Notamacropus eugenii: one gene and its partner. Each later gene encodes a partner of the first gene's protein in a complex. Links are inferred from orthologs where the notes say so. Each region holds a gene or a part of one and is shown on either strand. Other genes may lie near its edges. The genes, in order: RPS6KA3 and BMF.

Evidence for each region.
Region 2: the proteins of RPS6KA3 (region 1) and BMF are in contact, whole or in part, in a crystal structure (PDB 8R58), measured with the Homo sapiens proteins. The link is inferred for Notamacropus eugenii from reciprocal best matches to the Homo sapiens genes RPS6KA3 and BMF. Residues at the interface, in NP_004577.1 of Homo sapiens: Trp252, Phe259, Phe268, Leu281, Ala283, Lys284, Leu285, Gly286, Met287, Pro288, Leu299, Arg300, Phe303, Lys304, Arg305, Asn306, Asn309; in NP_001003940.1 of Homo sapiens: Glu8, Leu10, Glu11, Asp12, Asp13, Val14, Phe15, Gln16, Pro17.

What each region holds. Positions count from the first base shown.
Region 1 is NC_092876.1:457,656,578-457,672,085, forward strand, and holds the start of RPS6KA3 (ribosomal protein S6 kinase alpha-3), read left to right. Parts: upstream 1-7,001; 5' UTR 7,002-7,270; coding exon 7,271-7,339; intron 7,340-15,508. UniProt on the Homo sapiens protein: Serine/threonine-protein kinase that acts downstream of ERK (MAPK1/ERK2 and MAPK3/ERK1) signaling and mediates mitogenic and stress-induced activation of the transcription factors CREB1, ETV1/ER81 and NR4A1/NUR77, regulates translation through RPS6 and EIF4B phosphorylation, and mediates cellular proliferation, survival, and differentiation by modulating mTOR signaling and repressing pro-apoptotic function of BAD and DAPK1.
Region 2 is NC_092878.1:25,991,834-26,007,661, reverse strand, and holds the start of BMF (bcl-2-modifying factor), read left to right. Parts: upstream 1-9,332; 5' UTR 9,333-9,333; coding exon 9,334-9,430; intron 9,431-9,642; exon of another isoform or gene 9,643-11,885; intron 11,886-11,894; exon of another isoform or gene 11,895-12,101; intron 12,102-12,297; coding exon 12,298-12,594; intron 12,595-14,951; coding exon 14,952-15,112; intron 15,113-15,828. UniProt on the Homo sapiens protein: May play a role in apoptosis. Isoform 1 seems to be the main initiator.

The DNA of each region.
Region 1 (15,508 bases):
AGATCTTTTTTTGATCATGGCTTTCAAGTATTTCCATAATTTTTAAATTGTCTCTCCTGGATCTATTTTCCAGGTCAGTTGTTTTTCCAATGAGATATTTCACATTGTCTTCAATTTTTTCATTCTTGTGGTTTTGTTTTGTAATTTCTTGGTTTCTCATAAAGTCATTAGTTTCCATCTGCTCCATTCTAATTTTTAAAGAACTCTTTTCTTCAGTGAGCTTTGGAAGCTCCTTTTCCATTTGGCTAATTCTGCTTTTTAAAGCATTCTTCTCCTCATTGGCTTTTTGGACCTCTTTTGCCATTTGGGTTAGTCTATTTTTAAAGGTGTTATTTTCTTCAGCATTTTTTGGGTCTCCTTTAGCAAGCAGTTGACTTGCTTTTCATTATTTTCTTGCATCACTCTCATTTCTCTTCCCAATTTTTCCTCCACCTCTCTTACTTGATTTTCAGAATCCTTTTTGAGCTCTTCCAAGGCCTGAGACCATTTCATATTTATTTTGGAGGTTTTGAATGAAGAAGCCTTGACTTTGATGTCTTCCTCTAATGGTATGCTTTGTTTTTCCTCATCTGAAAGGATGGAAGAAAATACCTGTTCACCAAGAAAGTAGCCTTCTATAGTCTTATTTTTCCCCCCATTTGAGGGCATTTGCCCATGCAGTTATTGACTTTTGAATCCTTTGTCAAGTGGAGGGTATACTCTAGGGACCTGTAAGTTCTCAGTTCCTCTGAGGTGGCATAATCACTGCAGAGGAGTTTACTCCTCTCCTGATCTGTGCTCTGGTCTGGGTGCAACCACAAGCTTTTCTGCCCAGGATCTGCAAGTAGGGTTCACTCTCCGCAACCACCTCCAACTCCACCATGCCAGTACTCCTTCTCACCCCAGGACTGCCACTCAGGGCTGAGATTCAGATCAGCTGCTTGATTCCCCTAGGGTCTTTTGACCAAGGACTTCAAAAATGGAGGCTGCAGCCACCTGGGGCCAGGGCTAGGGCAGGACCCTCCTCCCTTCTCACCCAGGTGAAAGAGCTTTCTCACTGACCTTTGAAGCTGTCTCTGGCATTTGTGGGTTGAGGAATCTGGAAACCCCAGCTGCTACCTGGGATTCCACACCCGGATCTGGTCCTGTCCATGCCATGCCATGTTGCCAAGGCTGGGCTGTGCTCCATGGGCTGCACTCAGTTCTGAGCTTGGTGTGACAGACTTTTCCTGTGGGCCTTCCAGGTTGCCTTGGGCTGGAAATCTCTTTCACTCTGTCACTTTGTGGCTTCTGCTGCTCTAGAATTTGTTTAGAGTCACTTTTACAGGTATTTTATGGGCTTCGGGGGGACAGCTACAGCAGGTCTGTCCTTCTACTTCACCATCTTGGTTCCACTGGAAAAAGTTCTTGAATTCCATTTTAAACACAGAGTTTTGAGATTTCTGACCAATTCAAAAGGAAGCATTCCCAATGTAAATAGAGCCTCCTAAATTCACTATTACACTTAGTTTTTCTTAAATAGATCTTATTGATATTCTTCCAAGCTCCACCACATGGAATCATATACTTTTAGAGTTCAAAAAAGACTTGAAAGAAGGTCATTTTCCCTTCAATTTTCATTTCTTTCTGAAAAAGTGTGGATTTTTATAGAGCATCTGAAATAAAATACAGACAGGATGATAATAAATGTAAACTTTACCCTTTCAAATAAAAAATGTTTTAAAACTCTCAAATAATAGTCAAAGTGTATATTTTACTATTTTCTTTCCTAAGCAATGTTGGAGAGGTTCAAAGGAAAAATTAAAATTTATATTTCCATTCATTTTATTAAGTTAATTAATATGTATTTATAAATTTGGGATGAAATTCAAGTAGGGTGATATAATAATAATAGGTAATATTTATTTAGAATTTTAAGCTTAGTAAAATGCTTATTGTTATCTCACTACATCCTTACAACAACCCTGAGAGGTAGGTGTTATTGTTCCCCTTTACCAATGAGGGAACTAAAGCAGGGAGTAGTTAAGTGAATTGCCCAAGATGACACAGCTAGTCATTGTGAACTGGATTTGAAGCCAGGTCTTCTTGACTCCAGGTTCAGTATTCTATCTACTTCACTAATGATCTGTTTCTAATACAGTAGTTAAATGTGTTGCATCTGGCATCTGGAAGACTTGGATTTGAATTCCTTCATTCAACCCTGAGCAAGTCAGTTAACCTCTGTGTACCTCAGTTTCTTCATCTGTAAAATGAGGGGGTTGGACTTGCTGACCTCTAAGGTCTCTTCCAGTTCTAAATCTGATACTATGAAATCTTTTTTCCCTTTTTCCTAGGAACAGTTACCAGTAAGTACAGTTTGCTTTTGTGAAAAATAAAAGATGCTTCAGATAATGTAAAGGAATAGAAAATTTTTAAGAGATGTGATGATTCTTTCTTAACATTCTAAATTGTGACAAATCTGTACATTGTTAAGTTGTGAATTTGGATTTATATGAAGTAGAGATTGAGCTATGAGCCATAGTTAGTCATCTTGAACTTGTCCAGACTGACGTAATTCTACTTTTGAACAATGTTAAATAAATGCACATTTAAACTACGTACAAAGGTTATAATTATAGCAGGAAACTAGTGGGGGTGAAGGAGGTTAAGTCTGGTTGTGCTGTCATGCATTGGGAATGATTTCTTGGAAACCTATTCCATAATTTCTAGAGATATTTGCAGTTATCCTAAGCTGCAATTTCAAGCAATAACTTTCCAATATTATGCATGAGTAGGTGGGAGGAACTGAGAGTAGAGAACTAGTATGGGGCAGCGTTAAAGGGAAGGGAGGGAGGAGTGTTGAAGCAATCGATTCAGTCCTTATTTTCACTTTGAAAACCAAGAACCTGAAAAACGAAGACCAGAAGACTAGTGGAGCGTGAGGTCATTATACTGCAAAAGTGTGTAGTGTGTTTCATTCAGTGAAAGGAGTAGAAGCATTCTTTGTCAGTTTTTCTTTGTCAGTACTACATTCAGAGTCATTTTCTACCAATCAGTAAAACTTAACCCTGTCTTAGGCAAAATTTAAAATAACAGCTCTTTTTGATGACCCTCCACAGAAATTTCTCCCAGTCATTACATTTTACTTGCTTAAATTTACCCATCTAAAGAAGGAGCAGTAATGAGTTAACATTTAGTGTTTTAAAGTTTACAAAACACTTTACATATTATCTCATTTGATCATAATCTGTGTTGCTCTAAAATTCAGATGAACAAATATTTTACTCCTGTCAATAAGAACTATGTCATTGCCTTCAGGCAGAAAGAGAATTTTATTTTTGTAAATCACAGAATGTGAAGGTAGGATCAGACCTTAGAGGTGATTCAGCCCTCTAATCTAACCTTTCTTTATATATGAAGAAAATCAGGCTAACACATATTTATTGAGTGCGCAAGTACCAAGTTATTATTAGCAACTTATTTAATGTTTAATGTTAGGTACAAGAACTGACTCATCCATTTGGTCTCATACAAACTTATCAATTAATTTTTGTTAAAAATGTTCTAACATTTTTCACGGCAAAATAAATTAATAAAAGTTTGAAATTCTATTTAGAATTCTATTTTTAAGAAGCTAATGTTCATAATGTTATATACACATCAGTTTTATTACCCATGTAATACTACTGTAGTCAACCAAGGATAGAGACTTGGAGCATTAGTCACAGGTTTGCTATTAATTTGCCAGTTGTCATGAAGCCACAAGATAGCCCTATCCACTTGTTATACAGGATAGTAATGTTTTACAGTATGCTCGGAGGACACACACACACGCACACCCACACACATACAAACTTTATACTTAAATGCAAAATAGTAGCATGCAACTTCAGTCTCTTTGTCCTCAAACTTCCACATGACTTGTCACACATAAAGATGATTTACTACAACAGATAAATTCAAACAGGTATTTTTAATTCATTTATTCTACAATTCAGTGTCATTATAGCATCAGAAAAACATAGAACTCAGAGTAGCCTTAGAGAGCATCTGGTCCAGTAGTTTTCTTTTTACATCTGAGGAAACAGACCTACAAAAGTAGAATAAGTTGCCCAAGGACACAAAATATGAACAGATTGGGAGGGAGGGGAAACCACACCTGTGATGTGGTGGGTGTAGAGAGGAGATTTCAGTGAGGAATCTATCCCTACTAATACAGAAGAACAACTGTCCTGCAATATATAGTCAGAAAAATGCCTGGAAGAACTGAGAGGATAAGTGAGTTGCACAGGATGACCTAGCCAGTATGTGTCAGAAGTGATACTTAAACCCAAATCTTCCTCACTTTGCCTGAGGTGGGTTTTCTATACACACTATACTATGCTGCCTTTCCTACCAGATATTATATCCAATATTTTTCTGTCCCACCTTTCACCTTATTTTTTTTTTTTTTGGTGGGTGCAAGGAGAGCTGGTTAGTCTCTGGAAACTATATGGGAAAGCTGGGCTCAGCATAAGAAATTCAAGGATCATAGGGTCAGAAGGGACCTTAGAGGGCACAGAGTCCACTCCTCCGCTTCATTTTGCAGATAAAGAAACTGAGACCCAAAGAAGTTAAGTGGCTTGTCCAGCATCATAAAGCTAATAAGTGTCTGAGGCAGGCTTCTATCCCAAGTTTTCCTGGTTCCACGTCCAGCACCTCTATTTATCATACACCTCTACACCGTCCCAACTCTCCAGTCCAGTAGGGATGGAACAGAAAGAGAAGGATAAGGGAGGAAGATGGTACTGATATACACAAAAGCACTTGTACTAATATATCTATTAGATATTAAGGAAAAATGCAGGTATAGGCGACTATCTAACCTGATAGACAATCTTGCATGGTTGTAAGGGGAATGACAAATAGAAAACTTTTAAAGCTTCCAAAAAGTGGCTAGCTTGCAGTCTGGTCAGTTACAGTTGATGGCCAAAGGGCTTGCTTATCTCGCTTCTGCAGTTGTGACCACGTAGTTATTGCGTGAGCTGAGGGCTAACGAAGTTGGAGAAGGGTGCTAGAGAGAATGGAAAGAAGATTAAACACCTAGTACCGGTTAAGAGGGAGGGAGGGAAAAAATTGGCCGTTCATGAAGAACCCCGGGTACTAGTTTTCTTTACATCCTCGGGACTAACCACTTAGGAGTTTTCCCTAGTAACACTGAAAGTGGTGCCTCTCTTCTAATGAAATCTAGATTCTGAAACCACGCTGGTAATGCTTGACACCTGTTAGCAAACTGTAATAATTCTCACCTGCTTTAGAAAGGAAGCTATAAGCTTGTCAGGTACTCGATGCCAGAAAACAGATTGATTCTTTTGTGTTAAAGGAAAGGGAACTCAACCCCCCCCCCCCCCACACACACACACACACACACACAAGTCGACAAAGAGTTAATCTATTATGTGAAATGGCTTCTGGCATAGTGCGTGGGTGGGGACCGAGAAGGAGTTTTGGTTGGGAAGAAAGGAACCGAGGTGATGCTTGGAAAACAATGGCACCAGAGAAATAAGCAGATGGAGGGTGCAACAGTAACTTGTCGGATGATACTTTTTTTCCTCCTTAAAGGATACTTAGTAACTTCTGTTGCTTTTCATTGTACAGAGTTACCTTTCTGAGGGAGTGCTTTGAAAGTTCCTATAACCCGGAGTGAACTAGGCAGTCATGTACTCATTTAGATATGATATGACTCCCCAGTCTTTTCCAACTCTGGCATTTCTGATTTTTAAAAAATTTTTAATGCTCTTGAAAGAGAAAAATCCTAGTAGCATTCGATGTGTATAGAGTGGTCCTTCCTCTTTATGGCAGAAGGGGGAGTCAGACCCTCTCTGTCCTCTCCAGTATCTCTCTCACTCCCACTTACTCCGCCCCCAACCAGACCTACTTTCTAATCTCATCTTTTATTTTAAATCAGCGGAATGATAGGAACCCCGCTCTTCCTGCCTACAACGTATTTTTAATAACTCCCTATCCTGACTTCTTTGGAGAGTGGCAGGATCAATTCATCTCGTGCTTTCCGCCTTCGTGGAAGATATATCACTCTTCTGTAACGCCGGCCACAGTAGTAAGCCCTGGGCTGCACAATATTGGAGGAATGTCGGGTTGGGGAGGATGCGATGGGGGAGATAGAGACGGGGACTGAAACCTGAGTCCTTTCGGGGGACCACAAGGGTTCCTGCTGGCTATCTGGAATCCAAATTTCGGAGATTTCCCTTTGGGGAGACTAAATTTTGTAAAAGAAACGAGGTTCGAATTAGAACCTAGAAAAGCTAGTACCTCAAAGGACCCCCGAACCATCCTTATCCGAGGCCTTATGCCGAGGCAGATGCTCGGCTACGGAACTGAGCAGAGCCTGGGATGCTCTTATTCTCCCATGCTGTGTACACGTAGGCACAGTGACGGCTCGCTTTATGATCATGAAAAACCTAGCCAGAGGTTTTTCTTATCCTGCGGGTCAAGGTCACCGGCACAGGGCTGGCCCGTCCGTCCAGAGCCTCTTCTGCCAGACGCCGGCCTGCGGGGAGACAGACGGACAAAAGTGCCCGAGTGACAAAACTACCCTGGGATTTTCTCCCACCCCAGAGGGGTGACCAAAATCCCCGGGATAATGTCATCCTCCCGTACGCTACACCCAGCTCTTACAGTAAGAGGGTTTCCCGGGCTCCCACACCTTCCGGTTTGGAAGCATTTGCCCCTTCCTCCTTTCCCCATCCATCCCACTCGCGCAACACCCACTTGGTTTCCTTAGTCTCACCCCGCCCTAGGGTTGGGAGAGGCCAAGAGGAGAAAGCAGGGGGAGGGGTGGGGGAGGGGGCCGGGAGAGGAGGCGGGGCCGAAGGGCGGGGCCCTCGAGGCCCCGCCCCCTGAGGGGGCTGCGCACGGCGGCCCGAGCCTCGCTCTGAGGGACAGGTATCGTTTAGGCGCCATGTTGTGAGCGGAAGTGGGGGAGCGAGCGGCGGCGGCGGCGCAGGGAGAGGGAGCGGGGCCGGGAGGAGGAGCGCAGGCGGCGGCGGCGGCGGCCGCGCTAGAAGGAGGCGGAGGAGGAGAAGAAGAGGAGGGCGAGAGCCCCGCGGACGGCGGCCGCGGCCCCCGTCTCGCCGCCCGCCCGTGCGGGCGCCTCGCCGGCAGAGCGCGGCGCTTGGGGGGTGTCGGCCCCCGTGCCTCCCCCGGGGTCCCGCGGCCGCCGCGCGCCGGGGCTGTGGGGCTCAGGCGGAGGAGCAGGATTCCCCGAGAAGGAGGAGGCGGGAGAGGAGGAGGAGGAGACGGGGCCGGGGGGAAGATGCCGCTGGCGCAGCTGGCGGACCCGTGGCAGAAGATGGCTGTGGAGAACGCGAGCGACAGCGCCGAAGTGAGTGGGGGGCTGCCCCGGGGTCCCCGGCCCCTTCCCTTCCCTCCTCCTGGGCGCCCGCCCCCGAGTGCCCGCAGAGCGGCTCTTCCTTCCTCCCTCGTCCGAGATTCCGGGTTGGTTACTTGTTTGTGGGTGTGTGTGTTGTGCGGTGTGTGTTCATTCCTCCCCCTCCCCACTTCCTCACTCCTGCGAGGACGGGCTGGGTGTGTTTGTGGGGTCTGTGCGGGCTGGGGCTGGGGGGGCTGCGCTGTAAAACCCACTTCGCGTGTGGATGTGCCGCTGGGCGCGCGGAGCCGCTCGGACCCTCGGGCTCGTGGGTGGCCGCGTGGGACTCGTAGGGCTGCCCCTCGGCTTCGGGCCCCGCGGGGCTCGCGCTGCCACGGAGAAAGTTGACTCTTCAGGTCTCTTCTCCCCTGCTGCGCTTCCCCGCCCCCACCCCCACGCGTCCGTGTCTCGGATCTTTGACCTGGAGTTCCCTGGCCCTCGGAGCTTCACGAGTTTCCTGTCGCTTTGGGTGGGGAGAGGGCCGGGCCGAGGGGGAGATAAGAATGTGGGGGGAGAAATCGCGGCTCGGGAAGCGCTTTGTGGTGTCCCACCCCGGGCCCGGTGCCCGTCGCCCCGTGTCCCTGCGCGTGCACTTTGTGGTCCGTGTCCGTGTGCGTGTCCTTGTCCGGAGCTCAGTCCTGAGGTTTCTCCCGCTGCCGTCGCTGTCCCGGGATCCACTCTGCGGCAGCGGCGAGTCGTTCGGAGTTCCGGCCGGCGGGGCATCGCTGGGCACCCCCTCGGCTTCTGCCGCTTCGCTGGGCTCTTCTCCGCCCTGCTGACTTGGGGACTTTACGGGATGGTGCCTGTGTAGTAGTTGCTGACTGGCCCCATTTCTAGAAAGCGTGACTGAGTGCGGGCTGGAGTGGTGTGCCGGCGTAGCCGGGCTTCGGCCGTGCCGGTCTCCGCAGTCCGGGGGACGTGTTGGGTTACAGTTTACGTCAGGGTGACCGTGCTTGAATGTATTCCCGAATGGGACCTTTGTGTTCTCCGCCTCAGGGAGGGGAAAGGGGAGAGGGGCTAACGTCATTTCAGGAGTTTCCCCCAGCCCCCCAGTTACTTCCACCGCCATGAAATGTTCTTTGCACGCTTGCTTGTTCACAAGCAGATCTTCTAAGTTCCAATAATACTGATTTGGGGTCAGTTTTTTGACTTGAATCGTATTTTTTAAAAATCTCATTTAAAAGCTACTTTTGAAAAGAGAACATTGTTCCATCAGCCTAGAAAGCTAATCTTAAATAGAATTTATCAAGTATCAGTGATTTTGCCAATGTTTAAAAAATATACGATCACTTAAGGATATAAAATTTAAGGTGATTTGTCCCTTAACAAGTATTATGAAAGATATAACTAATTCAATCCATGTATGATCTAGATATGACAGTCTCACTTGTAAAATCTTCATTTAGAAGTTCCAAATATATGTTAATGACATTTTTATCTTATGTCTGGTAAAGATTGGGAATTCTTCAGAAATGCAGAAATTTTGCCTGTTTTCATGAAAGATTTATATGAAAATTAGTTGAAATGTTAAGTCAGTTGGCTTATTTCAGTTATTGCCATGTTTTCTAAAAACCAGGCACGTAGGGTCATGCTCTATCGCTTTAAAAGATTTTTGTCTTTGAAACTTTTACATGACCTTTAAATATGAGAGGTTGGGTTTTCAACGTTTGACCCCATAAATTCTCCCAAGTTAAAAACTAGATCAACCATCCACTGTTTGGATTAGGGTCTGATATATAGTGCAGGTTTTGAATCCAACACCTACAACTTCAGGCCACTTGCCCTCTTTAAACTTGAGTTTCCTCATTTAAAAAATGTGCACCATAAACTATTTTATCTAACTCACAGTTTGTAACCATAAACCACTATATATCAGCTAAACATCAGCTCTTATTATTAAAATATGATGGCTTTCTTTATGACAAAAATCAAATGCTTCATTTGCCATTAGGTTTTTTTTATTTGTTTTCACCTGAAGATTCCATAATTTTCAAGCATATTTATTCTGATACAGATTTGGAGTCTCCAAGGTCAGGTGCAAGGATTTCCATCAGCTTCTTGTACCTTCTGCATCCATGTTAGAGAGTAAAAGAGCAAATGGTACCAAGCTTTTTATTTGTTTTTAACGCACACACGTGCACACACACAGACACATACATGCACACACGCAGACACACACACACACCTCTCCAGTACTGCACTCCATGTTTAACAAATGTTGATTGGACCACGTAAAGCCATTTTACAGTGAAGCTGCAGCAACAAAATGCTACCTTTTTTTTTAAACCAGGAGAAAGGATTTATTATTTAGTCCCGCATATGTTAATTCCTACCTAGGACACCCAGGGGTATTTGGGCTGGAGACAAAATATGTTCATTGTTAAAGCTTTCTTTCATGACTCACACTTGGGAACATGAAGGAAGTTCTATTTAACATTACTGAGTAGAAAATAGGAATAAGTAACATACTGGAAAAAAATCATTTCCAAAGCGGTTTAGAGTGATTAGACATGGCAGTTCGTTGGATTATTATATGAAATGAACTTAGTATGTTTAAGGGATACATCTCTTATTCTTCCATAAGCAGATCTGTAAACAGGAGAGCTCTCCAGTGTGCTAGAACCCTCTCTCTAAGTCTTTTTACCTTTCATAGGTACCAGTACAGCACTCAGGCTATCCATTTGTTATGCTTCGTTTTCAATACCTATTTTCCCTTGATAGATGCATTCCTCCTTAATATCCCTTAGCACTTAGATCATCATTGGAAGTATATTGCAGTCTCTTTGCAGCCACTGTATACCTCTCCAGTAACATATCCTTTGCCATAGCAAACAAACAACAAACATTTATTTAGCACCTACTAGGCACTGGGTATGCAAAGGCAAAAATGAAGTGAATGAACACTATCCTCCAGGAACTTAATGTCCTATTGGGTGAAACCATGTCAACTCAGAAAATGAAATATAAAATGTGTTCCAAAAGGTGACACCTGAACTTAATTTGGAAAGGTAGGCTTGAACCATAAAGGGCTTTAAATAACAAAGGAGTTTATACTTTATCCTAGGAGAAAGAAGATCTACTGGAGTTTCTTTAAGCAAATATGTTTCAAGAATACCAGTTTGGCAGCTGAGGTTACAGTAGCAGGACCAGGTAGAAAGGACCGTTTTTGTAGTCCAGGAAAGAGGAGATGAGGGCCTGAGCTTTAGTGGTGGCTTTGTGAGTGTGGAGGAGATAAACGTAAAATGAAGAGGTAGAAGGAAAAAAGAAAACAAGTATGAAGTGCTTACTATGTATCTGGCACTGTGCTAATCGCTGAGAATACAAATACAAGCAAAAAGAAAGACAGCCCTTTCCCCCAGGGAGCTTATGTTCTATTTGTGAACTAACTGGGAACAAAAGGGAACTAAAAGGTGAAGGCTGGAGTTTGAAGTCCTAAAGTTTGCAGTTGTTTCAGGAGGGGAATGAAGGTTTACCTGGGCCACTGTACAAAATGGAGGCCTTAGTAGGAAGTCACCAGTGGGAGAATGGAACAAGCCTTCAAGAAAGGCCCTGTGGTTTTTGGATGTTCCAAGGAAAATAGCCCAGAGAAGTATCTGGATGAGGCAGCAGTAGAGGCAGGGTTTTAAAATCTAGAATTCAAGAACAGGACCTGGAGGAGAGTTAAACAAACCTTGGCAGCTGATTGGATTTGATTACTAACAGAAAAAAAAGTTGAGGATAACTTCTTGTAAACCTGAGTAATTTGAAGGATGGTAGTTCCCTAAACAGAAATAGGGAAGTTTAGGAAGAATAATGAATTTGGGAAGGTAATGATTTTTTGGAAGTTGAGGAAATACATCATATGGAGAATATGTTATCCAATCTCATCCTGTTCAGTTCTGGGCCAAGCTTATCGGCCATCTGCAGTGCTTGTCTCAGATATGTGCGCTGATGTGCTAACTCAAAGAACTGATCTTCCAAGTAAACTTGTAACCAGTTTTCATCGATTTCATTTTTCCTGTATGCATTGTTGGTCATGACAGTTTTGAATTATTTTGGCTCTCATTGAGGAGAGGCTGTATGATGACCTGGGGCTTAATGCAGTCAGCACATGTTGTTTTACAAACAGGAAGATCTGGAGGACCTCACTATCTTTCCAGCAATTTTTGGTCTCCATATCTCTTTGCTTTTTGGAAAACCTACCCATACTCCTTGTTTAATATGAAAGGATATACATTTTAAAGTTTACCATGCATATTCACAAAAGCTATGATGTGAAAAAAAATAATTTTCACAAAAAGAATTGTATTAGGAACAGAACTTTTTAGTATCATAAAGTTATATATTAGAGTAGTCCAGCGAGGTCTTTGATTCTGTTTTTTCATCAACCACTTCTGGGTGTAGTTTTTGAAGAGGTAGTGTAGTGTAAAGTGGTATAGAGAAATGGCCTTGAAGTCAGGAAGACATGAGTTTAAATCTTGCTTATGAGGTATACTGTTAGTGTGACCCTGGACCCTCTCTGTGACCGTAGGCAACTGAGACTCTTGAGTTGCAGAGAAGGTTCAACTTAATTGGTAGAGGAAATTCCCAACCAAGAACTTCCTATAATGAAATCACAGGTGCTTGCACGTGCGTGCTCGCTCTCTCCCGCTCTCTCCCGCTCTCTCCCGCTCTCTCCCGCTCTCTCCCGCTCTCTCCCGCTCTCTCCCGCTCTCTCCCGCTCTCTCCCGCTCTCTCCCGCTCTCTCCCCCTCTCTCCCCCTCTCTCCCCCTCTCTCCCCCTCTCTCCCCCTCTCCCCCCCTCTTCCCCCCCTCTCTCCCCCTCTCTCCCCCTGCCCCTCTCCCATTTAGTTTTTGAAAAAGATAACCCACACAATCAAGTTCAGTTTTCAGTTCGCTTCTTCCTTTGGATTTGATTAAGAACAGGATCAAGGATACTGATTCATAGAAATGAGCTGTGATTTAAAAAAAATTTAAAAAAAGAATTAGAGTCTGTAAACAAGAATAGTATGTGTTTCTCTAGAAGTATAGCAAAAATTTTGTAACTTAGTTCATTAGAAATTTTGAGTTTCTGCTTATTGTGGAGATTAATGGCTCATCTTTCATTGGTTGTCACTGATTTGTTTTCCAAATCTCATTTATGTGGTTTTGGTCAGTAGGAATTATTCCTTCAGCTATCTCAAATTTTTCAGATATGTGGATTAATGCCCGTTTCTTTATCAGCCCTTTTCCTTCCCTGCAGTTCTCTCTAAACTCAAATGCTTTCAGAAGCCACTACTACTTTTAGAGTATTAGGAAAAAATACCAAATATTAACTATTTACCCTTGACAAGTTTTGTGTCCTCCAGGTGGGAACCCCTGGTGGGTACCCCTTTATTTTACATGTGAGAAAGCTAAGCTCTGAAGAGTTGAAGAGATTTGTCCAAGACTACACAACAGATTATAAATATGAAGTTTTCATTTTCTGTAGAAAATGTTTGAGGTTGTCTGTTGACATATTTGCTTTTTTTTAATTGTTTGAAATAATTTTGTAAAATCGTTTAAAATTAAAATTGTGGTTTATAGTTTCCATACTTGTCTACAATTCAATGCAAATAATTTGTACTTCTTTCATCTTTCCCTGTGCCTTACAGTGCCTAACCCTGCCGTTTGTCTTTACCCTTGACTTCCAATCTCACTAATCCTCAATTCTTTCCCAGGCCGTCACTCCTATACTGTTTACATACTTCTCATACCCCTTTTTGACTTTTTCTTCTCTCAGATGTCCTGCCCTCTTATTCTCTTCCCAATATTACCATGCTGAAACTCAGTCTTTCTTACCCTCATCATCTACCTTCACTCCTACTTATGTGTTGCTGAATGAAGCACTTCTTCACTCAATTAAGAGAAAATCATTAAACCATGTTGACTGAATCCACTACTGATTTAGGTTATATAATCTCAGTTGAGTCCTTACTGCAGCATGACAATCCTTTTATGCCTCCCTAATTTATTCACTCTCACATTCATCACAGCACCTTTTCAAAACCTTCCTATGTCTTCTCAGTCCTCTGATGGCTCTCCTTCCCCTTGTCTTCTCAGTTGAGAACCTTGCCTCATATTTCACTGAAAAAATTGAGGCCATTCAGTAAGCTCCCTCTTTTTCCCTTCCAATCTCATATCTTTCAGAAATCTTGTCCACTCTATCTCAAAAAAAGAGGTGGTTCTTCTCCTTGCCATAGCACAAGAGATTCCTTTTAACCCTGCCTTTTCCAGCAGGTTGCTCTCTCTTTCATCTCTACTCTCTCCTTTTCTACTGATTGCTTCCATGCTATGTACAAAAATATCGGTGTATCCCTCATTCTCCAAAGTAGATGATCTGTCCATCCTTTGTAACTGTTACCTTATATCTCTCCCTCGTTTCATGGTTAAATTTCTTGAGAAAACTACCTACCATGCATGCCTCCGCTTTCTTTTCTCTCACTCTCTTAACTCTACATTCTGGATTCCAACTTTATCATTTAACTGAAACTGTTGTCTCCAGAGTTACCAGTGTTCTCTTGATTGCCAAATATAATGGCCTCAGTCCTCATCCTTGACATCTCTGCAGTCTAAGATACTGTCAGTCACCATCTTCTTATTGATATTCTCTTCTCTGTAGCTTTTTGTGACATCACTCTTTCCTGGCTCTCCTACTTGTCTGCTTGCTCCTTCTCAGTCACACTTTCGGGATCTTCATCTAGGTTGCCCCCACTAACTAAATATTTATTCCCTAAGACTTTGTCCTGGGTTCTGTTCTCTTAATATGCTGTTTCATTTGGTGATCTCATCAGCTTCCATGGATTCAGTTATTATCTCTATAAAAGTAACTCTCACATATAATTGTCCAGCCCTAACCTTTTTCTTCTTAACTCTAGTCTTTCATGTCCAACTAACTATTGGACATCTCAAACTGGATATCCTGTAGAATTCTTAAACTCAATATGTCCAAAAGTGAACTCATCTTTTCCCCCAAAAACCTTTCCTTGTTGCTATCAAGGGTGCCACCATTTTCCCAATCACCCAGGTTTAAAACTTAGGTGTTAAATGTAGTTCCTTACTCTCTCACCCCTCTCCCTGCCCCAAACAATCTGTTGCCAAGTTCTGTCCATTTGAACTTTATGACATCTCTCAACATATATTCCCTTTCTCTCCTCCGACACCACCACCATGCTGGTGTATAACCTCATCACTTCATGCCTGGACTATTGCAGTAGCCGTCTGGTTGATATCCTGCCTCATCTCTTCCCACTCTAGTTCATTCTCCATTCAAGTATCAAAGTGATCTTCCTAAATTATAGGTGTAAACCTTTCCATATGTAACCTCCCCTTCCCTCCCATTTCTGTGTCTCCCTATTACCTCAAGGATCAAATTTAAAGTCCTTATAACCTGGCCCCTTTCTACCTTTCCAGTCTTCTTTTACCTTACACCTTCCCCCACCACACACTCTGCATTCCAGGGATGATGGCATCCTTGCTCTCTCCTCTCCTGATTCTACATTTTCATTGGCTGTCCCCCATTCCCCCCTCCTGATTTTTTCAGCTTCTTCAGGCCTCTGCTTCACCAACTGCAAGAAGCTTTTCCCAGTCCTCATTAATCTTAGTGCCTTCCCTCTGAATCAGCCCTCAGTTTATCTTGTGTGCATCTTCTCTATGCATGGTTTTTTGTCTGTTGTTTTCTTCATGAGACTGAACTCCTTGATGACAGGGACTGTCTTTGTGTCCTCATGGCTTAGCACAGTGCCTTGGTGATAATTTAATCCTTCAAAAGATGAAGGAACTAACTAGGGCTGAGTCTGTTCTGGATCAGATTCTCAATACTGTTTTGGAATACCTGAGGAAAAGTGAATTATATCCCCCTCCCCAGAATTTGTGGTAGGTAATATGAAATGCACCCAAGATTTTGGGAAAGCAGATTTCAGAAGATTCAGAAGAAAGATAGTATGCTATGAACTAAAATATGATGGATAGGAAATGAACCTGGGAGATGGGAGATGCTGAAAAATTAAATTCTCAAAGCAAAAGAAAACAATTTCAAGAAGGAAAAATGAGATTTGTCTCAAGAATTATGTGAATAAACAGCCAATTCACCAGCTTATTTAGATTTTTAAAAAGAAATATATAAAAG
Region 2 (15,828 bases), on another chromosome or scaffold:
AAGGGCCTTTCCATCATGCAAGCTCACCTTAAACTTCCATGAGGCTGTCTGATCTACTGACCGAGCATAGTTCAAGGTGGTGGGTGAGGAAGGGTATTTTATCTCAATCTCTTAGCAGTTCAAGATGGAAAAAATCAAATTTTTCCTTTGTGTTTTATCAGAGATAATGTGAGTTGGGAGGACAGTCCTAGAATGGACTCTCCCAAGTCTTCTCATTTATTTTTATTACTTCAGATTAATTCATTTACTTATCCAAAAAATATTTATTGAGTAGATGAAAAGAGAAAAAAAGAAATTGAACACTGCATAATTGTATCAACCAAGAAACTTGACCTTTCTTATAGAAGAAACAAGAAAATATCCCTCCCTCCCTTCCCTGTAGAGATGAGGGTCTAAGCTGCCTTGCTGCTATTCATCCTTTGTTCTCCAAGGGGACCATGACATCATGGGGGTGATGCCATGACATTGGATTTAAGGGAGGAAGGGCTGTGCAGTCACCAGCCTCACTTTTTCCTCTAGAGCCATCTGGGTCCAGTGGTGAGATACAGATCAAGATGACTAAAGATGGCCTTGGATGTAGTAGAAGACCTTGGCCTCTTTAAGCTGAGGTCTTTACAAGTCTCAGTTTGATTGAGGCAGTGCCCATTCAGTGATCAAGGCTAGGTAAGAAAGGAGGCAAAAAATGCCCTCTTTTACCCAGTCCAAAAAAAAAAAATCAAGAGAAGGAAAGACCCTCAGGGTTTTGGGCCAAAACAGGAGTAATTGCATTCACTCTGAGATTATCAGGGTCCAAAGGCCTGGGATGTATTGTTGGCCAATCAATGAGAGCCAGAGTGATTTGGGTTTATAGCATGGTCCCTTAAGAAAGAAATCTAGCTGGTAAACCCCAAGATATCTAGCAATGTTTTAGTCATCAAAATTTATATTCCTTTCTACAGAGCACCCACAGGAAAGGAAAAAAGAAAGAGAGAAAGAGAGAAAGAAAAAAAGAAAGAAAGAAAAGAAGGAAAGAAGGAAGGAAGGAAGAAAGAAAAAGAAAGGAAGAGATAGAGGAAGGAAGAAAGAAGAGCTGTATTGCCCGACTGGCCAGTTGCCCATATTGTCAGATGCAGTTAGTTTTACTGAACTACTTTTTTCCCTTCCCTTTTAAAAGTCTTTCTTACAGGGAATGACTTGTTGGGTAGGGGAATGGAAAAGATGTTTTCAGTAATGAAGATCTCAAGAGCTATAAATAATGCATACATATATATACACACACATACACATATATTATATATCTATACATATATTGTCTATCTATCTGTCTGTCTATCTATCTATTGAGGGAGAGGGAGAGAGATGCTGAAGCTACACAGATATCAGGTATTTATATCTATATCTATTGCTCTATCACCTACTACACCATATGCCAAGCAATATGCTAGGCTTTTGGTGTGGATCTTTTAAAAGTATAATATATAGAATCTACCCTTAAGAAAGAGATTATCTGACTTTAAGATTGTACAAAAATCAGGCCCCCTGCCCCAACCTCTTAAAGCAGAATTCTGATCACAGCTAGGTCTGCCTGGATCTCTGCAAGGGTGAGTGTTTCCAACCATCGGGAAGAATATTTAGAAGATGTAAACAGGGATATTTCTTCAATAAATTTTGTAAACAGGCCTTACTTTGTTGAGAATTCCCTTTCTCCTCCCATTCCTATTGCCCAATATAGAACAAATGTGCATTTGTTAATGTGGATCCATTCATTCATTCATTCATTTATTCATTCATTCAATCAATAAATATAGGCATCCCTCAAACAATACCTTATATATAACGTGGTGTTTAATCTATGTAGCACGAAAACTTTCTGTTTCTGATGAAAAGCCAATAGTAAGCATTCTGGTACCCAAGGCAAAGTATCATAAAAACAGCCAGAGGTGAGCAGTCAATAGGAGAGGGGTGTGGAGAGAGGAAGAAAACACTGGGAAAGTCCCTGACCTCTGACCTCAGGACACAAGGCTCCTCGGGTAGAGAAAATGCCTTATATAGGGGACACAGAGACCTAGGGACAGGGATCCTGGTTTCAGTGGGAAGATGCTCTGGGGTACCATGAAGCCACTGGAGGTTTTTTAGTAGCTTCCTATTTTAATGAATAATAAACTTTATTTGGGTGTCTTAGGATAAAGCCCAAGTCACCCCATTTTAGGACTTTGATCAAAGCCAACATTTTGCCTGATAGTTTATGTTCCTCCAGACTCCTCTTTATTCCAGGAGATTAATCTTCCAAATTCCCTTTTTAAACCTCTTCTCACCTCCCATTCCTCAATTAAATCCTATCCATCTCATGGATTGGTAAGTGGGGTAGTCTTCTTCAGGGCAGTAACTAGGGTGGAGCCATGGGGTGGTGGTCCAGGGCAACAGCATTTAGAAAGCACTGACAATTCTTCCGCAAGGAGAAACAAGTTAGTTGCTCAAGATCACACAGCAAGTAAAAGTTAAAGGGGAAATTTGAACTCATATCTTCTGACTCCTGAGTCTCTGTCCTTTCCAGTGTGTCTCTTCTGGTAGACCCATTAACATAGACACTGGTTCTGAAAATCAAAAGGAGGGTGCTATTCTGCCCACTTTACAGATAGCTCCACTGAGGCCCCTGAGAGGTTACAAGCAACTTCATAAGGTCACATAGAAAGCCAGAGGCCAAAGAGGGAATTGTCTTTTGGAATCTAGCTCTTTCTACCAGACTAGTATATTGCCCCAGTGACTCTGAAGGCTACTTATCCAGATACTCAAGACTCTCCCTCTGTGACTTCTGATTTTCTCATAAATCAGTTTCCAATCTAAGCCCTCCCTTGAGGTTGAGTTACAAACCTCAGTAACCCCAGGGCGGCCTGCCTGGTAATTCCTATTATTCAGCTGTCAGCTGGTTTTTAAAAACCTCCTTTCCTGGTGAGATCCAGTTACTGGGGTTTTAAAGCCGATTCCTTGTGTTAGAGAGAAACCCTATAGCCAGGTGAAACAATGGTAAAGGCTCCTGGCTCATTTCCCCCAATCCTAGTTTAGGGATTTCACAAAGTAGAGGGAGCTTAACTCTTTGTATCCCCCTCCCGGGCCTCTGGAGAGGAGGCCACAGTGAGAGAGCAGGTTTGCCTTTTGGAAGGAGGGAGGTGTGTGAGGCGACCCTACCCTGAAAAGCCAACTTCTCTTAGGAAGGAAAAAAACCCCAAAACAAATTGAGAGGTAGACCGGGGGAAGAGGGAAGGGCCCATCAGGAGATTCTCTCCAATCACTGGTTGTTGCTGCTGTTGTAGCAAGCGTGCCTTTCCTCCTAAACCCAGTCAAAAGCTCTGAGCACATCTGTTACTAGGGGGCTTCTGTCAGTCGGGGAAGAGTAACACCCGACCCTTCTAATCCAGCAGGGTCCTAAGCACAGCTGGCTCTGCCTGGATCCCTGCAATGGAGAGTATGTCCAACCTCCAGAAAACATATTTGGGTGATGTTGGCTCTTGTGAGGGAGGGGCGATTCCAGACCCTGCTCCTGGAGAGTCTTTGCTCAAATACTTCTGACTGAAGGGCAGACCCTCTTTGTACTGATTCTCATAGAGGCTGAACATCTGAAAAGAGACAAGGCCAAGCAACCTTCCCCAGGGTAAGGGCTGTTCTCTAGAAATGGACTGTCAGGAGTGGCCTGGGGAAGAGGTGTGTTTAGGGGGGAATATCTTGGCAGAAATGTGAACATAATTTGGTTTGTCCCTACCCCACAGGCATCCTGCATCTGGAGCTCTAACTAGGAATTCTGGTTGTAGTACCCTTGGATGGTACCAAGTGGTGAAGTGCTGTTGGACCACATAGAGATGTCGGCCTAAAGACAGACCCAGGGAGGAAGGGTGTCCCTCCAATGTCAGTGACAAGAGACAAAGACCTAGTTACAGCTCTGTCCCAGATCCATGTGGAGAACTCCAACATTTTGCCTTGCTTTGCAGGTCTAATTTCACTCTAAAAATCTGAAAGATACCTATCAATAGATCAGGGGCCAAGGAAGCTGGGTAAAATGACCACCTTGGACTCCCTGGAGTTTTCTCTGTCACTCTTAACTGCTCTGGACTTGCCTTCTAGAAGCCACTTTCCATATTCCGTTTTCTCTAAAGCTATCAGTAGGAAATGTTTTAGTTTTGAGCATTATTAACTGGATTAAGCAATTCCTAGGAATGCCATCAAGGCAGCTAGGTGACTCAGTGCATAGAATGCTGGGACTGAAGTCAGGAAGACCCGAGTTCAAATCCAGCTTCAAATACTCACTAGCTGTGTGACACTGGGCAAGTCACTTACTTTCTCTTTGCCTTAATCTACTGGAGAAGAAAATGGCAAGCCATTTGCCAAGACCCCATGGACAGTACTGATGTGCTATCGTCCATGGTGTGACAAGAGTTGGTCACAACTGAACAGTACCACATAGTACCATTAACAGGCAGGAGAGGCAAAGAAAAGTGTAAGGAAGAAAGCCTGATTTTAGTGGAAATCTTTTGTGATTTGAAGTCAGAGCACCTGGGTTAAAAGCCTGGTTATGGTATTTGCTGCCTGTATGATCTTAGGCAAGTCACATCACTTTATTGGACTAGCTATGTGCCTAGCACATAGTAGGTACTTCTTAAATGTTTGTTAACCATCTATAAAATGAAAGAACTAGGATCGATGATTTCTATGGTCGTAGTTCTAAATCATATGATTTTTTTTAAAGGCAACCAGGGTAAAATGACTTGCCCAGGGTCACAAAGCTAGTAAGTATCTAAGACCAAATTTGAACTCAGGTTCTCCTGACACCAGGGTCAGTGTTCTCGGTACTGCATCACCTGGCTGCCCCTAAATCCTATGATCTTAAAGAAAGCAAAAGAGCAAAGGAGAAAGGAAAAAAGGAAGACAAAAAGTCAGTGTGGGAGGGTAGAATGGAAAACATTCAACAATGACTTTGGATGTCATTCAATGTCACCATTTCCTATTATTGTCCTTTAGCAGGAGTTTTTAACCTTTTGTGTGTGTATGTCTCATGGACCCTTCTGCCAATCTAGTGAAGCCTATGACTCTCTTCTCGGAATAATATTTTTAAATGTGTAAAGTAAAATACATAGTATTACAAAGGAAATTAATATTATTGAAAGACAGTTTTCAAAATATTAAAACAAAACAAGATCACAGACCCCAGGTTAAGGACCCCTTGCCCTAAAGGTGGATCTGAGTTAGCAGTTTTGTCCCTGAAACATAGAATATTAGACTCTTAATGCTGTGAAGTACCTTAAGTATAGTATATCATCTGAAATTCTCTCTCATTGACCTGGACAGTTGCAATTGCCTCTAACTTCCAGTCTCTACCCTCTCTAATTCAACTTCCACAGAACTGCCCAATAAGTATTCTTATAGCACAGGTCTAGACCTGTAACTCCCCTGCTCAAGAAGCTTTAATGACTCCCTATTGTCTCTAGGACAAAGAACACATGCCTCTGGATATAAAGCCCTTTACAGTTGGACTCCAACCTATTTTTGCAGGCTGATTTCATATTAATCCTTCAGGTCAAGACGGGCTTACTTAATGCTCTTTATATACAATATTTTCTCACCGACATTTGTGCTTTTACAAATGTTTCTCCTCATACTTAAAGGTCTTCCCACTCATCTCTAAGTCTTGGAGATCCAATTTCCCTCCATCCTTCCAAATTTCAGCACAAGCTCTACCTCTGAGAAGAGTCTGTATTTTTCTTTGGTCCCCAAGTTTAGAATCCCACACTTCCCAACACATTAAAATCACTTTGTACGTATTTTTACTGACTGATCTGTGCATATGTTGCTGACTCCTTGTACAATGTAAGCTCAGACCCAGTTCGTTTTTCCCCACTCCAGACTTGTATATTGTCCCAGGGACTCTCAAAAACCACTAGTTGAGTGATAAAGCATCAGAGTAAGGACTAGATGAGTGCTGAGGGACATGTGCTTTGGAATATGCCCAGTCCAGCAAACCAGACATTTCTAGTCTCTCACTCCCATGATCCTTGTTACATATGTACGTGGGACCTTATTTTTTTTTAACCAGATCTGTGAATTCAAGGGGGTGTGTTCAGTTGTTTCAGACTCTTTGTGACCCCATTTGGGCTTTTCTTAGCAAAGATACTAGAGTGGTTTGCCATTTCCTTCTCCAGCTCATTTTACAGATGAAGAAACGGAGGTAAACAGTGGTAAGTGACTTGCCTAGGCCCACACAGCTAGTAAGTGTCAGAGTTCAGATTTGAATTCAGGTCTTCTTGACTCCAGGTCTAGCACTCTATCCACTGTGCCATCTGTTTGCTCAAATTCAAAGGCATAGAGATCTCCAAATGAGGATTTCCTTCTACCAAGGCAGATAAACACCTGCTCTGAAATAACATATGTAGTGATAACTTTGAACTTACTCTCCCAGAGTAAGGCTGGCTACATCTCCCACTCAGGCTTCTAGAGGTCAGGAGTATCTCTTCTCATACTCTGTGCTATCCTGGACAAGCCCCATCATGTAGTCAGGACTCTGAACTCACTCTCTCATCTGAGACTGACCTGTGTCTCCTCTGTCTTGATTTGCCCTGAGATCTCATTTATTCCCAGTAAAGAGTTCATTCACTCTTGTATATTTTCTGGTATATTTTAGGGTGCATAATTTCTCTAATTTCTGCTTCTTGTCTGCTTATTCTCTATTTATGGTGGTCTTTTATCTAACTAGTCTTTAGTGGGAAAGAGTTAAAATAGCAAATGTAAACTAAGCTATGGTGATCAGGGAAGAGGCTTTTGTTTTGAACCCCTAGATTGTACTTTTAGATCAGCAATATTGAGAGGGGGGATCAGATAGCTGTAATTCAACTCTGGTACCCATTTCTGGGGGGCAGCTAAATGACACAGTGGACTCAGTTTCCTCATCTGTAAAAGGAGCTAGAGAAGGAAATGGCAAACCACTCCAGTATGTTTGCCAAGAAAACCCCAAATGGGGTTATCACTGAAAATGACCAAGCAACAACATCCCTTTCCTAGTGTGGAGAAAAGAATGCTTTGCCTTACGGCTTCCAGGAGCTTGCCTCCCCTCCTACCCTCTCAGTGGTTGTGTAGGCCCCTCCCTGGACTCTCCTCTTCTCCTTAGAGTTGATCCTGACCTCAGATCCTATCTGTTTACACCTCCTGAGAACCTTTTACTAAGTAAGGTCCAACAGATTTTGTAAATGGTCACATGAGGTATAAAAAGTTAAATGATTTGCTCAGGGTCACACAGTTTCACTTTTAGGATTTGAATTCAGGTCTTTCTGACTCCAAGGCTGAATCTTGATCCACTATCCAATGCTGCCTCCGCATCTTGTTTTTGTCTTTTTATCCTCAGCACTTAGCACAATGTCTGGGATGTGGAAGGGCATGGTAAGTACTTGTTGCATTAAACTGAGAAAAAGTAATAGAACTTTGTGGTGAATCTTGCTCTGTGAGCCTCATCTTCTTCATCTGTAAAATGGGACTAGTCATACTCATGTTACCCATTTCACTTCTTCATTGTGAGGCCAGTTCTTTGGAAAATGAATATGTATGAGCTGTTATTATTGCCAGGACAGACATCAATCCTTAGGAAAGACAAGGTGGATGTCTTGGCATTTTCTTCAAGCCTTTTGCGGACACCATCTTCCCACATGAAAGTTAAAATCCCTCCCAGTCTACCAAGCAGGGTCCCAGAGTCTGGGCCTGACAAATCCTTAAGGACAATTGACTTGTTGCCTCCATTAGAGAGAGGGTACCCCTTTCTAATCAGGGTAGGGCAGATCATAGGATAGGAGATCTAGTAGGATGAGACCTCTGGAGCCATCTAGTCCAAACCTCTCATTTTACAGATAAGGAACAGATGCTCAGGAGAGTTAAGTAATTTGCCCAAGGCCGTATTGTGAGCAAGCATCAAAGGAAGGATTTGAACCCAGGATCCTCTTACTTTCATCACCAGTGTTCTTCCCATCATACTATACTAGATTGGTAAAGGGTAAAAAAGGAATTGTAGTCTCCCCTTCACAGGATCATTGACTTAGAGTTGGTCATCTTGTCCAGCTCCATCATTTTGACAACTTGTGGCAAAGCTCTGATTGTCCTACCTGAGATGATTTGAATCCACATCCCCCAACTCCAAATCCTCCTCTTTCCATTACTACAGTTGAGAATTGCCGCTATGTGTGATATTACAAATTTTGATGAGACTGTAGGTCAAAAGTTCTTTGGGAGTGAGGAGTGCTGGTGAGCCATGATTCATCAGTGAAGGTAGGAGTTCCAGGCAAGATGGGCAGGAGAGTTCCCAGGAATAACAAAGTTCTTCCAAAGGATGGGCAAGGGCATGGAAATGGATGGATTCAGGTAAAAAATGAAGTAAGGGAGATGTTTAACCACACTATCCCATGCCCATCCAGGGCAAATAGTTACCACGCACTTCAGGAGCAGCTAGTGCAAGCAGTTGTCCCAAGGGCACCAAACTCACCGTCTGGCTAAATCTGCAACCCATGGATTAAGAAGTCAGACGAATAGTCAGCAACCCTTCCCACTGCCCCGTGGAAATGTGACATTTACCCGCCATATCTTCACTTGCCGGTCAGGTAAGACACTTGCCCAAGCAGCCCGGGTATAACAGGGAGGATCCTTCCCTCAGGAGATTTTTATTTTGCAGTTTACTAGGCACAGTCAAGGCACCAGGATTCCAAACTAGGAGCTGGAGGAAGGTCTCCTCCTCCTCCTCCTCCCATCCTTTTTTCCTTTGGAGTACAAAATATGAAACTTAGGCGGTAACTTCCAACCATTACGCGGACCGATAAGGTTCTCCACTCTGTGACGTTTTCAGGTTGTAAAGTCACAGCCCTTGGCTCAGGTGTAGACGCTGCGTTAGGACCGGAGGACTTGATAATGGATTGGGTCATGGGGGCACAGAGCCAGGAGCTTGCCAACATCCACTTGTCAACAGGAAGCTGGGATGCCACTCACTATTGCAGGGGATGCAAAAATTGAAGATATCGTCCCCTCCCCTCCCCCCCAGGTAATTATTTAGTGCGATCACGAAAAACCCTAGGTCTCCTAGGAAGACTTTCTGGGCCTGCTTTCTGTTTTCTGGATTCCCACAGAAGGGGTGGCACAGCCTTCGCCCGGGCTGGGAAGCCAACCTTTCGCTTCTGTGGCGGCTCAGAATTTTGCCCTGCGCCCTTGCCGCGCATCTCCTGGAAGGTTCACACATTCGCGATTGTCCCTGCCTGCTGCCCAGCCCTGGACTCGGAGCTTCGTTCGCCATTGGTCAGGTCGTCGCCGAGGGGCGGGGCTTCGTCAGCTGTTTGCGGGATGCCAGCGAGCGGGGGTATTTTGGAAACAATACCGCGCGGGCGGCGGCGGAGGCTGGCCTCCCTGCGCGCGCCGGCCGCCTGCGCCCCGTCGCCAGGTAAGCCCCCGGGGCTGGGGGGCTGACCGGCCGAGCGGGGTGCGGCGCCCCACGAGGGGCAGACGGCGCCGCGTGGCGGGGAGCGGGCTGCAGTGAGTGCCCCGTGGCGGGGGCAGAGCGCACCCGTGGGGGTCCGTGCCCCGCGGCAGGGAAGGCTTGGAGGGGTGGCCAGTGCTTGGGGGCAGTGCAGGGCGGAGGGAGGAGGAGTTACAGGGCTGACCCGCGAGGGGTGAGGTGTGAGCGCGGGGCTCGCTGGAAGGATCTTGGGGTGTCCTCTGCCCCAGGGGGTCGTTGGCAGAACAAGGGCTCAGATTGCAATGACCAGGGAAGCTTGGGGGTGCAGTGACTGTGGGACTTTGGGGTGTGGGGTGCCTTAGCTCTTTTTTTACATTTCTGCTCCAAAGTAGGGATGGTGGCGAAGAGTTTTGGGGTGCACTGCCTTCCAAGGGGTCTGACTGCTCCTTTCCAGCTTGGCTTCCTTTACCTCTTTCCCATCCCGGTCTGGGCACGGAGCCCCGCGCGCTCATCACTGGGCTTTGGCTCTGAACCCTGGCATCATAGCGCTAGAGCTGAGGCTCTTTCCTGGAGTTATCTTGTACTGTGGACCCGGGTCTGTAGTGTACACATGACCCCTGGTTTCTGGCAGCGCCAGGGACTTCAGCTGCCTAGTTTCTGTCTGTGCCCTCTGGGGCCAAGCCCAACTTTTGGAAGTCACTGTCACAGTTGGAAAAGGTTTGAGCAGGTCCAGAAGAGTGGATTTCACTTTGGAGTAACGGCTTACCTGGCAGTGTCTTCCTGGGGAAGCGGAGCCCTCTGGCTTAGTGTCCCACATCCTCAGTTCCATGGGGATCTCTTCCATCACTTATTCCAAAGTTTTTTCAGGGACCACTTGCCTCATCTTTCACCCCTCCCCCAGTCAGTGTACCACAACTTTTCTGGACTAGCCTGTACTGGCAGAGGAGGCTGGAGCTGAATCACTAGGGAAAGTCAGGTCAGGTAGGGGGAGTGGGGTTATGTACTTCCTACAGTAGAGAATGGAAAGGGTCTCTCAGGATTGCTGATCCAACCCACTCAGGCTACACCTCCCCCACTCACCCAACCCAGTCAATTTAGAACTGGGGCTTTGCCTGGAGGGTAAAAGCTGACAAGCTTTGGAGGAGAAAGAGTCTCTGTCTTTTGCCTGTGTTTGTGGGATCCCAGCTGTTTTAAAGGGAACCCTCTTTGGGGTTACTGTTATGAGATAAAGGCTGTCATTCTTCTGGGCAACAGGTAACCACCACTTAACTCTGGTAGAGCAGCCTCAGGTCAGTTCAGTTAGAAAGTTTGCATCCTGGTCCATAGGGGAAAGATAGATAGATAGATAGATAGATAGATAGATAGATAGATAGATAGATAGATATGGATAGAGAGATGGAGTCTGTGTGAGTGTGTGTGTGTGTGTGTGTGTGTGTGTGTGTAGGTAGGTAGGTCATCTATATGTGCCCTATGGCCCTTTTCATTAACAACTCCAATAACTGGGAGAGGGGAGTAATAGATTTGATGAAGGCAGAAGTATTTGATACTCAAGCTCTCCAAATTTAGATGTGATCTATTCAGATGCTTCAGAAAAACACAGTTCAGTTTGGATTGTGCTTGAAGGCAAGAAGTAACCTGGGAGACAGGAGTCCCGAGTTTTGTTTCTGATACTATCTTTGTCCAGCTTTGTGGCATGGCACTCCGTTGAAGAAAGGCCATTGGAGAGTATAGGTGACTTCTGCTTTTGGGCACTAGCAAAGCTAAGACACACTGTGGCACTGCAGTCACTGAATACGCGGTGTAGTAGTTATGAACTGTGGGAGTTGGGAAGTGGGTCACCCCAGGACTTCTTCTCTAAGCTGTCTGTCTGCTAAAGCAAGAGATGCTACCCAGACGGTATAGGTGATGCCAGAGACATGAGGCTGAGTTTTACTTCCTCCTAGGAGGCAGGATACACAGCTCCCAGGTTCAGCTAGGGACAGGCATGGGAACCCTTTGAGGTAGGGGATTGGGAGCTTGCAAGGAGCAGGTTCTAAAAGCTTCTAGATGATAAGCTCATCCTTCTTGTGGACTTCTGGAGAGCTGAGAGCTCAGTTCAGCCACTCTCCAGATTCAGAGCATCTTGTTGTGACTTAGGCCCTCCCAGGAATCTCACCACTACCAAACCACCCTCCAGTGTCTATTGGTGAGTGTTGAGCAAGTGGGGGCGGGGCATAGGGGAAAGTTAGTCGGCTGGGAGGGACTTGAGCAGGTTCTGGAGCTGGAAGCACGGCTTCGAGGTTATTGTTGGCTTTTGTTGTAGTGGTGGTTGCTCAGCCAGGAGTTTAGCTCTGCCTGAGTGTGGTAGTGAGCTCCCTAGGGCGGGGATTATGCTTTTTTCTCACTTGTAGAGAACACTGTGTCTGGAGCCTGTTTGGGTGACCTTGCACTCCTGGAGCAGGTGAATGACTTGGGTCCCTTTTTTCCCTCCCACTGCTTTCATTGTTTACCATTTCCTAAATACCCCATAGCAGCACCTAGACTCTGTAAGCAAGTCTCATAGCAGCCAAAATAGCCCTTGCCAAGAGCACTCACGGTCTGAACTCCACAGACAGGCCTGTTCAGGAAAAGAAGCCAAGGGTAGAGGAGGCTGTGGGCAGCCTACTAGAGGGACCAGGTGTGTTGGGCTTTTTCCAGGTAGTTTGAGGGGGATTTTTTTGTCTTCATTTATAGGTTTCCTGTGCCAAGACTGTATGTCAGCAGTCCCTGACCTTATCTTCCATTGGCTAGGGTAGAGCATGGAGAGCAGGGGCATGAATCATCCAAGGGGGGTGAGGAGTGGCACCCCAGACTTGACCGCCTTTCTTTTGCAGGAGAGATGGAGCCTCCTCGTTATGTAGACGAGCTGGAGGACGAGGTGTTCCACCCGGAGGACTCAGAGCCTGGTGCTCAGCCAGGGGGCCTGACCTCAGCTGCTCTGTTTGCCCAGAGTCAGCCTGACTATATGCTGGATGGGCTGCAGCTTTTCCCTCTCACCCATTGCTGCGGCCCAGGGCTTCGGTCAGTTGGCCAGGAAGACAAGGCCACTCAGACCCTCAGTCCAGCATCCCCAAGCCAGGGTGTCATGCTGCCTTGTGGAGTGACTGAAGAACCCCACCGACTTTTTTATGGTGAGTTTGACAGCCTTTTCCCTCCTGATCCTTCTCTCCTGAGTTCAAAGTAGAGGTAAAACTATCCCTTCTAATAAAGGTATGGCAGAGGGCCACAGGGGTCTTGAGTCCTCTCTTTTCTCCCTTCTGAGCCTTCACTTCTTTCTGTTTCTTGCTGGATCACTTGCCAGTCTTCATGAAGCTAAATTGCCGTGCGCATCATTTACCATTCATTTATTCCATCATCAAATAACTGAGCAAGTATTAGGTGCAAGGCACTACTAGGTGCAAAGCACCTACTAGGTACAAGTTCAGTGCTATGGGAATTTAGAGCAAGTATGCTCTCACTATTCTGAAAATACCCCTATTCTGGTACAAGAGGGGATTGTAGTAGGTGACTTTTAAGTTCTTTTCCAACAGGAACATTCTCTTTTTTCTGTATTCTAAAGTCCCTTTTAAGACTCAGATTATCTGTTACGCTGCCCAGTGGGTATGGTAGGCTTTTTTCCTTTGTAGAGTGGGGACAACTCAGTCTTAGCTGTAGTTGTGTCTCTCCCTGCCTCTGTACACCCAGGAGGGGCCTCTGGGGGAAGAAAACGACCAAGCCTTCTTAGTTTGGTGTGGGCATTCTGTCTGGGAGGAGAGCTAGAGCAAAGCCCTTGCTTAGTTATCAGTGACCTGTGGTAGTAAGGAAGGGGGGGAAGATGTAAAAGTGCTTCCCCACTCCCTCCGGCATTTATCACTTGGTTTGTTGCTACACTGCAGTTCCCTCTAGAAGAGAATGTTCCTAGGGGCCAAGCTTGGCTCCCAGCTTTTACTGAAGACTACTTGTGGTTGGAAGGAGAGCAGGAGAAAATTGCCAAGTCCTGGCGGGGTTTGGCTTCATGCTGAGATAAAGGCTGTTCCTCAGGAACAGGGTGGCTTAAATCCGGGCAGATCCCATTCCCATTACCTATATTTAAGGGGCATGAGGGCCAGGCATAAGGAGTAAGGTTAGGCATTAAGCCCATTTTTTTAGCTTAAAGAGGTTCTGAAGTTATCTTATGTGTATAGGATGAGGCACAAGACCTGTGAAGATTGCATTTCTTTCTAAAGGAACTGCCTTTCAGTGATAAGCCAAAGTAATTCTGTACAGAGTTGGCCTGAGTGATTAGAAAAGGAGGGGAGGGAGTGGAACATCTCTGATTTGAAGGATGCTGATAGTCTACATTCAGAGGGCATCCCAGAAGGCCCAGCCAAGGCTGCCTGCAGAAGGACCTTGTTTTCCCTGTGGCTGGAGGCACTCTCTTCTTGGTATTGCCTGAAGCTTGCTGGGGAGGTTCCAGGGAAGATCATACTCTGCAGTTGCACCTTTTGACCTTTTCCTCAGTCTATTGGAACCAAAAATCCTGGAGACCTTAAAAATTCCTTCTGGAGAGGGGCTTCATCCTGGAGTGAAATGAGTACTTCATTATGGTGATATCCAGCCTTACAAATAACTCTCAGATTTGTTACCAGTCTGCTCCTTCTGACCTTCTAGCCTAATTTTATACCCCGTTCCATCATTTACTCTGTGTTCTGTCGAAATTGGACTCTTTGTATTTTCCTGCCTCAGTGTCTTTGTTCACAGTGCTCTGTATACTTAGAATGCCCAACCTTATTCTTCTCCATCCTTTAAGGCTTAGTTCAGGTACCACCTCTATAGGAAGTTCCTCCTCATTCTTTCTCTCTCTCTTTCTCTCTCTCTCTTTCTCTCTCTCCTCCTCTCTCCCCCTCTCTCCCTTCCCACCTCTCAACCAGGTGTGATCATTTCCCTCTTCTCAACTCTTAAAGTAATGTTTTTATCTTTCTTGTACTCTTATCATGTTCTAGTCTGTGTCATCATTATTTGTGTGTCACGGCAGATATTGAGCTTTATTTCCCTTATTTCTTCTCCTACAATACAACATAGCACTTAGTGAGCACATCTATTCTCCTTGCATAAATTCTTAGTTAATTAACTTGGGCAAATAGATGAGAGACACCACCTACTATAGAGTCATGCCAAAGGTGAAATTTGTGCTCCTTGAATTTTGATCCAGCCTCCAGCATGTCCAGTGGAAAGAACACTAGCTCAAGAGTCAGAGGATCTGAGTTAAAATATGACCTCTGGTGCTTGATCCCTGTGTGACCTTGGGCAAATCATTTACCTTTCTTGAGCCTCAGTTTCCCCATCTGTAAAATGAGAGGGTTGGACCACATGGTCAATGAGATCCTTCCAGATTTGCACTTGGAGCTGATGCTTACTATATACCGGTGGATCTTGCTAGGCATTTGTGGTTGAGGCCCCCAGGAAGGACTCTGGCTATTGTGTCAAATGCTGGCTCATGTGGACCTTCTCTCTCCTGCTATCTTCGCAGGCAATGCTGGATACCGACTTCCCCTCCCAGCCAATTTTCCTGCAAGCCTGAGGCTTGGAGAGGAGCCCCCTGAAGAACAGTGGGAGCATCGAACTGAGGTTCAGATTGCCCGAAAACTTCAACGCATAGCAGACCAGTTCCACAGACTCCATATGCAGCGGGTAGGTATCAGCCAATGGAAGCTGAGCTTCAACAGATGCCAGGACCATAAGAATCCTCTGCTGCCTTTCTCTCATTCAAAATTCTCATCCAGACTTGGGCATCCTTCAGTCAGACCCTGGGACTCTTCCTTGACTTGGGAGTGCGCAGTTTCTGGGCAATGGTTGGGCTCCGTTGGGAGGAGCATCTTGAACCCTAGAGAGGAAGAGGTTCACCATGATGCGGAGACAGGAGCTATTGAAGGGGTTATAGTGAGGTGGGAGCTACAAAAGGGCTGAACAGCACCTTGGTCACAATTGCCACCTCTCCATCTCCTCGACCCAGTAGTGTCACCCCTGTGGATTGGAGTGGATGCTCAGTCCCCACCGCCTGCTCATGCATTCAGAGGAAGTACAGCAGAGGGAAGGTTAACGCAGGCAGTGGGGCTCCAGCATGGGAGGCTGTGGAACCGGTTGTAATTTGACACTTTCCAGCTGGGGAGGCTGCCTGATCTGATGTCTCTGTCTGGGAACCAGGGCCAAAGGACTCAGGAGAAAATAGTACCTCTGAGAATCCCTCCTGGCCTGGGGCTTGGGGTGCCCAGTGGCAGCCCAGCAGCCCAGCCCTGGCACCACCACAGCAGAGCATCGCGTGTCAGCTAAGCATGTGGCAGAGTTAGTCAACAAAGGCTGTGGCGGCCGGCTGGCTCGTGCAGGAGGAGCTGTGGAGGGCCCTGGGC